Linked DNA regions of Mus musculus. The protein of the gene in region 1 interacts with the protein of each later gene in a pairwise test. Links are inferred from orthologs where the notes say so. Each region holds a gene or a part of one and is shown in the gene's direction. Other genes may lie near its edges.

What was found.
Region 2: the proteins of Glrx3 (region 1) and Ciapin1 interact in binary tests that used the Homo sapiens proteins (3 or more experiments, as listed by UniProt). The link is inferred for Mus musculus from reciprocal best matches to the Homo sapiens genes GLRX3 and CIAPIN1.
Region 3: the proteins of Glrx3 (region 1) and Mapkbp1 interact in binary tests that used the Homo sapiens proteins (3 or more experiments, as listed by UniProt). The two-hybrid records come from large-scale screens. The link is inferred for Mus musculus from reciprocal best matches to the Homo sapiens genes GLRX3 and MAPKBP1.

Annotation. Positions count from the first base shown.
Region 1 is NC_000073.6:137,458,018-137,461,665, forward strand, and holds part of Glrx3 (glutaredoxin-3), read left to right. Parts: intron 1-1,105; coding exon 1,106-1,278; intron 1,279-1,463; coding exon 1,464-1,525; intron 1,526-3,328; coding exon 3,329-3,386; intron 3,387-3,648. UniProt on the Homo sapiens protein: Together with BOLA2, acts as a cytosolic iron-sulfur (Fe-S) cluster assembly factor that facilitates [2Fe-2S] cluster insertion into a subset of cytosolic proteins.
Region 2 is NC_000074.6:94,828,270-94,831,917, reverse strand, and holds part of Ciapin1 (anamorsin), read left to right. Parts: coding exon 1-145; intron 146-2,687; coding exon 2,688-2,764; intron 2,765-3,478; coding exon 3,479-3,641; intron 3,642-3,648. UniProt on the Homo sapiens protein: Component of the cytosolic iron-sulfur (Fe-S) protein assembly (CIA) machinery required for the maturation of extramitochondrial Fe-S proteins.
Region 3 is NC_000068.7:120,021,174-120,024,821, forward strand, and holds part of Mapkbp1 (mitogen-activated protein kinase-binding protein 1), read left to right. Parts: coding exon 1-147; intron 148-557; coding exon 558-724; intron 725-916; coding exon 917-1,062; intron 1,063-1,163; coding exon 1,164-1,358; intron 1,359-1,522; coding exon 1,523-1,607; intron 1,608-1,858; coding exon 1,859-2,142; intron 2,143-2,369; coding exon 2,370-2,966; intron 2,967-3,344; coding exon 3,345-3,430; intron 3,431-3,648. UniProt on the Homo sapiens protein: Negative regulator of NOD2 function. It down-regulates NOD2-induced processes such as activation of NF-kappa-B signaling, IL8 secretion and antibacterial response. Involved in JNK signaling pathway.

The DNA of each region.
Region 1 (3,648 bases):
TTTGTTTTTATTTGAAAATAACTGCTGATGTGGGGAAATCTTAAAGGAAGAGTAGTTTACATTCCAGTGGATTAAGAGTATCTTTCAAAGAAAGGTGAAGTGAGAAAGAGGAAAGTGGTTTGGACTTGGAGGTGCTAATTGATAAGAATTTGCAGCTGGGAAGAAAAGTGACCTTTTCTCAGCCTGGACAGATAGGTTCATAAGACTGATGTGAACCCTGGCAGAAGATGGCTTCACCAAACTCTAAACTCCTGGGACAGATTTGTCACTATAGTGTACCTTCAAAGGGAATCATCATCCTGCACACTAAAGGGAATGTAAATAATTTCAACAAAGGCTGAGGTGGAGTCACATCAGCCTGTAGGTGATTCATGTAACAACAAAGAGAGTGTGAACACTGGCTGCTGACTTCACCCAAAGAGAGCACTTGTGATTCTGAGTGCCATCCATCCTGCTCAGACAGAGGTGGAGATGAGAAGCGCCTGCAGAAGTGTGTACACAGGCTCCCTGGTGTGGTGGAAGGACTGCACTTAGGTCTCACTGTAGTCAAGCAGTGGTTAAAACAGCTGTTTCAGGCTCCTGGTCAGTTTCTTGAAGGGAGAGGGAGCAGCCATAGAGAGCTTTGTCATTGTCAGGGTGGAGCCTGTGGTGGGTTTTCATGGTTCTGCTCTTTGACTAATGCTGTGTCCCCAATTAAAGGGCAGCTTTGATAAACACACACACTTTGCTGTAATTATGCTCTGTGTGAGACTCTGGGTCAAACGAATTTTTAGCATTTACTTTTGTCTTAAATTATCCAGTTATACTGATTCAATCACTGTGCAGGTGAGGTGGGCATTTCTGTCCCCTGGACAATGGGTGGCAATCACTGTGCAGGTGAGGTGGGCATTTCTGTCCCCTGGACACTGGGTGGCAATCACTGTGCGGGCGAGGTGGCATTTCTGTCCCCTGGACAATGGGTGGTAATCACTGTGTGGGGGAGGTGGCATTTCTGTCCCCTGGACACTGGGTGGTAATCACTGTGTGGGCGAGTGGGCATTTCTGTCCCCTGGACACTGGGTGGTACGTGAGAGATGCTGAGTCTCTACTCCTTGTTCTGTTGCAGGTTTCAGCAAGCAGATGGTGGAAATCCTTCACAAACACAATATTCAGTTCAGCAGCTTTGATATCTTCTCAGATGAAGAAGTTCGACAGGGGCTCAAAACGTACTCTAATTGGCCCACCTATCCTCAGCTCTATGTTTCTGGAGAGCTAATAGGAGGACTTGACATAATTAAGGTTAGATTCTTATAAAGACAGTTCAGAGCACACTTTCCTAAAAGTGCTGTAATAAATTGAAAGCACATATTTTGTATTGTATCTCGGGGTTTACTAATGAACTCAGTATTTCTGATCGACGTTTGTCAGTGTCGCACAGTGGGGGTGGTCAGGTGGTTTATGTAGTCACAGTGTGCTTCTTTCAGGAGCTGGAAGCATCAGAAGAGCTGGACACGATCTGTCCCAAAGCACCCAAGTTAGAGGAAAGGTGAGTGATGGGAACCCGGCAGCAGGGTGCTCTGTGCATCTTAGCAGTCTATACATCCTGTTAGTGTGCTGTTCTTTCTGAGTAGACACCAAACATTTACTTAGTGTTTAGTTAGTATTTGGGTCATAATGTGGTGTTCCTCAGTACCTAGTTTTGCAAACTCTGGATGCTCTCGTTTGGACTGGAGATGTTTTACCTGATTTAGCAATTATGAAGAGTAAGTAGACTTGGTGCTGTAGAAATGTTACTTTCAGTGGGTCAGCGTCCTATTTGGTTCTTGCTCTTTTGTATGAGCATAGCACCTCTGTGTTTTTGTGTGCAGCTCAGTCCCTAAATGTGGTAAGAGTTTAATGGGAAAAGCTAGGGTTCTCAGAGGCTTTCCTGAGTCATAGTCACAAAACTCAGGCAGACTCTGGAGCTGTGAAACCATCTTTCTATTTATGAGAGAGTACAGCCTGCTTTAGAAGTCGTGTAGAAATGGTGGATTTTGTTGTAGAGGGATATATGAAGGAGGTTCTGTTGTAATAAATGTGAATTTATTAGTTCACGTTTTTATATTAATTAATTAAACATAATTTATCTTGAAATGCATCAGAGCTCAACAACTGTTAGTTGGGCCTTGAGTTTGTAATTTGCTTGCTCTTTCACATTTTGAGAATTTCTACAAATATTTAATAAAGATTGTTTGTCTGTACTTAATCCAAGTACTCCTTAGGAGCAGTATTCTATAGATGTCATGCTGGCCAATGCCATTGGTCTGCACCCTTTTGTAGTGGTGAGAAGATCGTGGTGTTGTGGATACCACACGGACCCTTTTGTGGTCTTTATCATGGCCCATGATATTCCCCCCCCCCCCCCCGGCTGTGCTGCTTCTAGGATGGTTCTGCATCTCATCCCCCAGATTGTCCTTGCTGCTGTTGCCATGTCTTAAAGTGCTGTTTACAGCTCTCCCCGCTTCAGGCATGCACAGATACATACAGCATAGAGTTGTATGTTTCAGGTAGTAATCTAAAGAGCTCTTCTCTAGTGACATGATGAGTATTTAGACAGCCGAGTGGCCTGTGATGCATGGATCTAGGTGGTTAGATCCTCTGGTGAGTGAGCTTGGCCTCTGGGATTGGCATACCTGACCAGCGTCAGCTTGCTTCTACACGATTTTGACTCGTGCTGCCTCCACAGATGAGAAGAGAGAAGAGAAAAATGATACGACCCATTATCTGTACACTGATTTTTTTTCTAAAGATTTGTGACTAAACTTTGTTCCAAACTTAGGTTATTAACAATCCTGATAGAGAGCAAGTTAGATTGCGCTTTTTGACAGGTGACATATAAAGTTAAAATGAGAAGTGTTGATTTTTCCTGGTTAGTGGTGGGTGGAGGACTAAGATTTTGCTTTCTTAGGCTCACTGCCCTGCTCTGGTGTGAAGAGCATTATGCACATCGTGATGGGAAGCGCTCACTGCTTCATTTGGGGAACTGGTAGATGGCTCGCTATACAGGCCCCCCATCGAATAATTCCTTGCTGAATTGGTTATTATTATTTTTTTAGTACTACAAGTTGATGGGCTTAAATTGCAACTTGAAAGAACATTCGTTGCCTTAAAAAGCCATATTATGTTTTACAGTGGCTCAGGGAGAGAATGAAATAAAGGAAAGTGTCAATGTTTTTGCTTGTTTAGTACCACTCAAAGCTGTGAGCCGTCATCCTGCTATCCCTCAGATATGCCTGCTACTCAGGAAGCAGAGCAGAAGTGGTGTTTAATAATTGAGCTGAGCCATTTTATATCAATTTTCTCTCTTCAGGCTCAAAGTGCTGACCAATAAAGCTTCCGTGATGCTCTTTATGAAAGGAAACAAACAGGTAAAGAACTCAAAAACAGTTTTATTTGTAATTTCTTTTGATGTTAACATCTGCAGCAAGGGGACAGTTAAGCCTTTTTTTCTAGTTTAGCTAATGAAGCTGTAGTAGTATCAGGAAGTTATCCAGGCCTTAATTGGTGCTTATGGAGATCAAACAAAGTAATCTCCATTTTGCTTGACTTTACCATCAGCATCTCAGCAGGGTGCATGTCTTTCTGCTGCCAAACTTTGTCAGCTGAAGTGGTCAACGCTGCTAGCGCTCA
Region 2 (3,648 bases), on another chromosome or scaffold:
AAGGAATCCAGCTTCGATGTCATTCTGTCGGGTGTAGTCCCAGGAAGCACCTCTCTGCACAGTGCTGAGGTTCTGGCTGAGATGGCCCGGATCCTCCGGCCAGGGGGCTGTCTTTTTCTGAAAGAACCAGTGGAGACAGCTGAAGGTAAGGGTCTTGGTGCTCAGAAGGTGAAAGTTTAGCACCGCCGCGTCTGTGCGTGCGCACACCATCTCCCTGAGACTGTGCCTGAGGTACTCCTGTAGTATTAGTCTCTCAGGGGTGGGTGTTAGAGTCTGAGGCAACAGAGCTGAGAAGATGTGCTCTCTGGTTGACCTACAAGATCATAAGTAGAAGGAGATTGCCACCTAAAATGGCTGAATCTATCACCAGATGAACAGTTCATCTTTGTCATGTTTCTGATAGATAGAACATTCCAGCACTGAGGAGGAGCACACAGCAACTTCCTGTGAGTCTGTGGTTATTCCACAATACAGAGTTTTAAAGCAATGGCTGGAATCCTGGGAGTAAAGAATAATATGTGAGGCTGGGCGTGGTAGCACACGCCTTTAATCCCAGCACTTGGGAGGCAGAGACAGGCGGATTTCTGAGTTCGAGGCCAGCCTGGTCTACAAAGTGAGTTCCAGGACAGCCAGGGCTACACGGAGAAACCCTGTCTCTAAAAACCAAAAAAAAAAAAAGAAGAAGAATATGTGAGAAGCTTAAACTATTCCGAGAATTCCAAGCTAAAACTAATCCAAGAACTAAAGCCTTGAGGCTCAGTAGTGTAGCTGTCAGAATTGTTAATCCTGGGTTTCTAGCTTTTTTTTTTTTCTTCACTGAATTCAATCAAGATGTAGAAATATTCCACCAGAAACAGTAAAATAATAGAAATGGAAGTATTTCAGAGAAAATAAAAATGTACTGTGTATGTATAGCTGTGACCTTGTTATGTCTATGGTAGACACAAGCTTTCTTGCTGGAAACTTTTATGATTTTTAAGAGAGAAGAAACGTGTGTACATTTGTGTATTTGTGTGTGTGTATACATGCCTGTCTGTATGTGAGGATACATGAACATGAGTGTAGGAGGCCAGAGGTATTAGACCCCTTGTATGGTTAGTGGATCCGCTCCGCAGGACTGGAGAGGCAGGACATGGGAGTTTGACTGTGCTTACCCCACGCCATTGCTGGGTGGGTGCCAGCCTATGGGGATGCTGCAGGACACCGTTTGGGGTGGTGTGTGTGTGTGTGTGTGTGTGTGTGTGTGTGTAGCTCAGTCTGAGGTCCTGGGAACCGCTGGCTGCTCTTTAGGCAAAAGCTTTCTCCAGTGCTCCCCCATGGTAGAAAGTAGATGAGTAAAACAGTACCCCACTTCTTAGGGTGGGCCTGAGGTTAAATATCTTTTGTAGGGAGGAGTGTCTGGGAAGGAGAGTTTATTAGCTAAGTCCTCAAGGCCTTTACATACCTCATTAAAATGGAGATCTGTCTTAAGCCTATGCGACCACAGGGACTACTACATGTGGAAGGGGTTGGGGCGTTTTCTTACATGACTGAGGCCACAAATCTATGAAGGGCTGAGGCCTCATGCCAAGAGCCTGGTTTCCTGGGGTGGCGGCGGTGGCGGCGATACACCTTCCATCCCTTTAGAGTCACCAGGGTTTCTAACCTTAGTTTCTTGCGCGCTCCACTGGCCAGGAAGAACGACGCTGCAATAGGATCCTTCTGCACACGTTTATTGGGAGAGCTTGATTGTAGAGGCGAAAAGACCCCGAGCCCAGAACTGGTGCTGCTTTTATAGGCCAAGGAGGGGCGTGTCTCACACCCGGATTGGTTATGCACTAAGCCTCATTTGCATGTTCCTCATCTGATTGGCTACTCTCTCTCAGTACCTTACAGAACCTCATTATCATACCTCATTTGCATGTCTCACATCTGATTGGTTATACTCTCAGTACCTTACAGAACCTCATGATCATGCCTGAGCCAGGCAGTGTCTTTGCAAAAGACTTCACTGCATACGTACACATTGGTTGTTTGTCCAGTCTTATGCGTGGTGGCCAGCAGTAGTCAGTGCCACTCAGCAATGGCACATGTGGCTTCCCACATAGTTCAACCAGGAACCAGGCTGCCTTTCATGGTCCTACAACCCCCACCCTGGAGCTTAAGTTAAGGTTGTTGTGAGCCTTCTGATGTAGATGCTGGGAGCTAAATTCCCATTCTCTGCAAGGGTTGTGTGTGCTTATAACCACTGGGCCATCTTGCCAGCCTGTTCTTGCTGGAAATTTAAACCTTGAGTCATAAATGGTGAGAGACAGTACTTAGGTTTCTGTGTACTTCACAGTTTATAACTTTATTCATTATCTAACATTCTTTGGGAGGGGTTTCCAAGAAGCAGAACAATGAAATTATGACTTGTTCTAGCCTAAATAAGAATACTTGGGGTACTGGAGAAATGGCTCAGCAGACCTTCCAGAGGTCTTGAATTCAATTCCCAGCAACCACATGTTGGCTCACAACCATCTGTAATGAGATCCAATGCTCTCTTCTGGAGTGCCTGAAGACAGCAACAGTGTACTCATATAAAATTAATTAAAAAAAAAAAAAGAATACTTTGAACCACCAAAAGATTTTTCAAGATAAATGTTATCACTAAACTAGTTTTCCCAACTTTGACATATGGAGCCATTGATGGAGGTTTTCCTTGACAGTTAACAATGACAAAATGAAGACGGCCTCTAAGCTATGTTCAGCCCTGACTCTTTCTGGCCTCGTGGAAATAAAAGAGGTAAGTGTGTCGATATCCATTTTTGTTAGGTAAACCTTGGGTGACCCAAACCTACAGAGTGTTTGTCAGTAATCCTGGGGCAAGTGAGGTGATAGGCGCTGTGCAGAACTAGGAAGTAACGTGATACTTGCTGCCTGAGAGAGAGAGAGAGAGAGAGAGAGAGAGAGAGAGAGAGAGAGAGAGAGAAGGGGGGTACAGGATGCTTTGAAAAAGAAAGCCTTGGGAACAGGTTCCTTCTGAAGACTCGGTGGTTTGCACTGGTCTTCCTAGAGCTTTTAAACAGTGATGTGCTGCAGGGAGGACGGCGACTGACTGCTTCTGTCCCACTCAGTGTATACAGCTCTTAGGCTTCCATGGAGTATTGTCCCTTAGACCTTTGGTGGAGACAAGACTGTGGAAGGGGGTGTGCACTTATGACAGTTGAGTAGAGAGATATGTTCAAGCTAAGATAGGCCTTTGTTGTTCCATATTTTCTAGAAATTAAATTTTAAAATATTAGCATTTTCTTGGTTTGAAAGACATGTTAGTCCGTGACAACTGTATTGTTATATTCCTGCTTTTTTTTTTTTTTTTTAAATGTGATTCAGGCCTTTAAATTCTCTTTTTGAGACAGAGACTCATTGTTGGATGTAGCCCAGGCTAGCCATGTGGCTGGCTTGGTGAAACAGTGAATGGAGGAGCGTGCACTGATTCGTGGGATGTCTTCAATTGCAGTTGCAGAGGGAGGCCTTAAGCCCTGAGGAGGTACAGTCCGTGCAGGAGCACCTGGGCTACCACAGTGACAGCCTGCGCTCAGTCCGTGTCACTGGCAAGAAGCCAAACTTTGAAGTGGGTTCTTCTAGCCAGCTAAAGCTTCCCAACAAGAAGTCTTCTTCAGGTAAGAC
Region 3 (3,648 bases), on another chromosome or scaffold:
CTGAGTGTTCGCTCCATGTTGGACCTGAGACAGATAGAGACCTTAGCCCCAAGCCCTCGAGGCCCCAGCCAGGACTCACTGGCTGTGTCCCCAGCTGGTCCTGGGAAGCATGGTCCACAGGGCCCTGAGCTGTCATGTGTCAGTCAGGTGAGCTATCTTTCTCCCAGCTCTCTAGAGGTCTCAGGAAGCCTCAGCCGGTCCTGTGCTAACAGCCGGGGCCTGCGCTTAGGTACTTCTGTGCACAGAAGACACAGAGACAGGAAGTCTCCTCTGAAATGCAGTTGTAGTAGAACTGACTGGGCTGTATTGTGAGTGGGGTGGGCCGAGAGGTACAGGGAGCTTTGGGGAGGATTCTTGGTGTTGAGTAGCAAGAGCCTGGCAGTCCGAGTGCCAAAACAGCTCTTCCAGAGGCTTAGTATTCCAGCTGAGCCCAGCCTGGCCTCCTGCTTCCTGTCCCCAGAGCTACAACACTCTGCTTCCGCAGCACTGCTGTTCACCAGCACCTTCTTCTCACGCCAGCAATCCTCACAAGTACCCCTTTCTTTATGTGCTTCCAGAATGAAAGGGCCCCTCGGCTTCAGACCTCCCAACCCTGCTCCTGCCCCCACATTATCCAATTGTTGTCACAAGAGGAAGGAGTCTTTGCCCAAGATCTGGAGCCTGCACCCATTGAAGATGGTATTGTCTACCCGGAACCCAGTGACAGCCCTACCATGGATACCAGGCAAGGGTTGTGCCCTGGCCAGAACTCATGGGCTCTGCGGCCCTTACACTTCCTTTCCCTCTGAGTTTTCTTACGTGGGCAGTGGTTGGCCTCCAGGCCACCACCTCCCTAGCAGTGGTCACAGGCAGGAGCTGAGTGGAGCTGCTGACCCCTGCTCACTGTCTTTCCTTCCTTTGCTGGCCTTTCCGGCAGTGCGTTTCAGGTGCAGGCTCCAACCGGAGGATCCCTAGGAAGAATGTACCCAGGCAGCAGGGGCTCAGAAAAGCACAGTCCTGACAGTGCATGCTCTGTGGATTACAGCAGCAGCCGGCTTTCCAGCCCTGAACACCCTAATGAAGGTAAGGCTGTACCATGAGGAAGGGACAACGGGGTGAAGCAGGGAAGGCAGACCTGTGACCGATAGGTACAGTGTGATGCCTTTCCCCTCCCCCCCATCCAGACTCTGAGAGCACAGAGCCCCTAAGTGTGGATGGCATCTCCTCAGACCTGGAAGAGCCAGCCGAGGGTGATGAAGACGAGGAAGAAGAGGGAGGCACTGGCCTCTGTGGGCTACAAGAAGGCGGCCCTCATACCCCAGATCAGGAACAGTTTCTAAAACAGCACTTTGAGACTCTGGCCAATGGGACTGCTCCAGGTGTGGTCTGTGGGCCAGCCTTCAGTCAGCCACATCTGCCCTTGTCCCCTAGCTGAGAGGGAGGGTCCAGTAGGCAGTGCCTTAGGTTGCTTTGTAGGGGCTGCAAAGACCTCGGGCAAGAACTAAACTTCTGACTCAGTTCATGGTTTCTGTGCCTCCTGCAGGGGGCCCAGCACGGGTGCTAGAGAGGACAGAGTCTCAGAGCATCTCATCACGATTCCTTCTGCAAGTGCAGACCTCCCCACTCAGGTACGGACCACCCCACATGGCTCTGCTCACCTGGTGCTCCTGCACCTGGCACAGCATGTAGCCTTCCTCATGTCTCTCCAGAAGGGGACGTTGTACTCCTAGATTTGAAGCAGGTGGTCTCACGCAGACTCTGTCTTGCTTTGTGCTTGTCCTCTCCTGGTGCATCTCTGTCTGTGAGGGCATCTGGCCAGCTCAGGGAGGAAAGCACTGAGCCTTCTCTGGGCCTTCTTCTGAACCCATTCTCCCTGTAGGGAACCATCCCTATCCTCCTCAGGCTTGGCCCTGACGTCCAGACCTGACCAGGTATCACAGGTGTCTGGTGAGCAGCTGAAAGGCAGTGGTGCCACTCCTCCAGGAGCACCCCCAGAAATGGAACCCTCTTCTGGCAACTCTGGCCCCAAGCAGGTGGCTCCTGTGCTGTTGACACGACGGCATAACAACTTGGACAACAGCTGGGCCTCCAAGAAAATGGCTGCAACCCGGCCTTTAGCTGGACTCCAGAAAGCCCAGTCTGTGCATAGTTTGGTACCACAGGGTAAGGAACCTTGATGAGTTCAACTACAGGTTGTGGGGGATGTGAGACATATATGTGGGCATGCTGGAGGAAGGTGGGTCTAGTGTGGCCCTGGCATGTCACCATGCTTGCCACTGCATGTCCCTTAGTGATTACACACAGGGGAGAGTAGCAACTGGGGACTGAGCCCTAGCATTTGCACACTTTCCTCACCACGCGACCTGCATCTGTCCCTGTCCCCAATGCAGATGAGGTGCCTTCATCACGTCCACTGCTCTTCCAGGAGGCAGAGACCCAGGGCAGCTTAGGATCCCTGCCACAAGCTGGTGGCTGCTCATCTCAGCCCCACTCCTACCAGAACCACACCACCAGTTCTATGGCCAAGCTAGCGCGTAGTATTTCTGTTGGCGAGAATCCGGGCCTGGCAACTGAACCTCAAGCTCCTGTACCGATCCGAATCTCACCATTCAACAAACTAGCTCTGCCTAGCAGGGCTCACCTTGTCCTGGACATCCCCAAACCACTTCCTGACCGTCCTACTCTGACCACATTCTCACCTGTATCCAAGGGCCTGGCCCACAATGAAACAGAACAATCGGGCCCCTTGGTGAGCCTAGGAAAGGCTCATACTACAGTTGAAAAGCACTCCTGTTTAGGGGAGGGTACTACTCATAAATCTAGGACAGAGTGCCAGGCTTATCCTGGACCCAACCACCCCTGTGCCCAGCAACTGCCAGTCAACAACCTTCTCCAAGGCCCTGAGAGCTTGCAGCCCCTGTCCCCTGAGAAGACTCGTAACCCAGTGGAAAGCAGCAGGCCAGGGGTAGCCCTGAGCCAGGACTCAGGTGTGCATGGCTCCCCAGTCTCACCTGGCCCATCCTTTCTGTCTCTGTTGGCTACTTTCTGGCTCTGTCCCATTTCTGTGTGCCTGGCCTTTGGTGTTTTTGTCCTGTCTGCTCCTGTCTTGGTCCATAAGTCACACCTCTGATGGTGAGACACTCTTGCCACCCTTCATAATCTCCCTGTGACCCAGTGAACCCTTTAGTCTGGATACTAGGGCTGGCTTTTCCTTCTAAACTTTGTGTGGTGTTGGGGAAGGTGTTGGAAGAAGGTGGGACAAGAGGCCAGGATTGTCGGCTGGTAGGGATTATAGCTCTGCTCTGAGAGCCCTGGGTTGGGATGCCTGAAAAAGCAGCAGGGCCTCACTGGTGTTTGTCCTTCAGAACTGGCCTTGAGTCTGCAACAGTGTGAACAGCTCGTGGCAGAGCTCCAGGGGAATGTACGCCAGGCAGTGGAGCTCTACCGAGCGGTGAGTATGGGGCAACCACTGTAGGCAACAACAGAGCTTCTTCTACACACTGGATGGAGAACTCAAGGGTATTCTGAGCATTGTAAAGGGGAGGGTCAGAAGCCAGGCCAGGCCTCTCAACCCCAGAATCTGTTGGTTATTTCTAGGCAAGAAACAGGGTCGTAGCGTAGAACACCATATTATTCAAGAAAATCCCAATTCATGGCTGTTATCTTTTT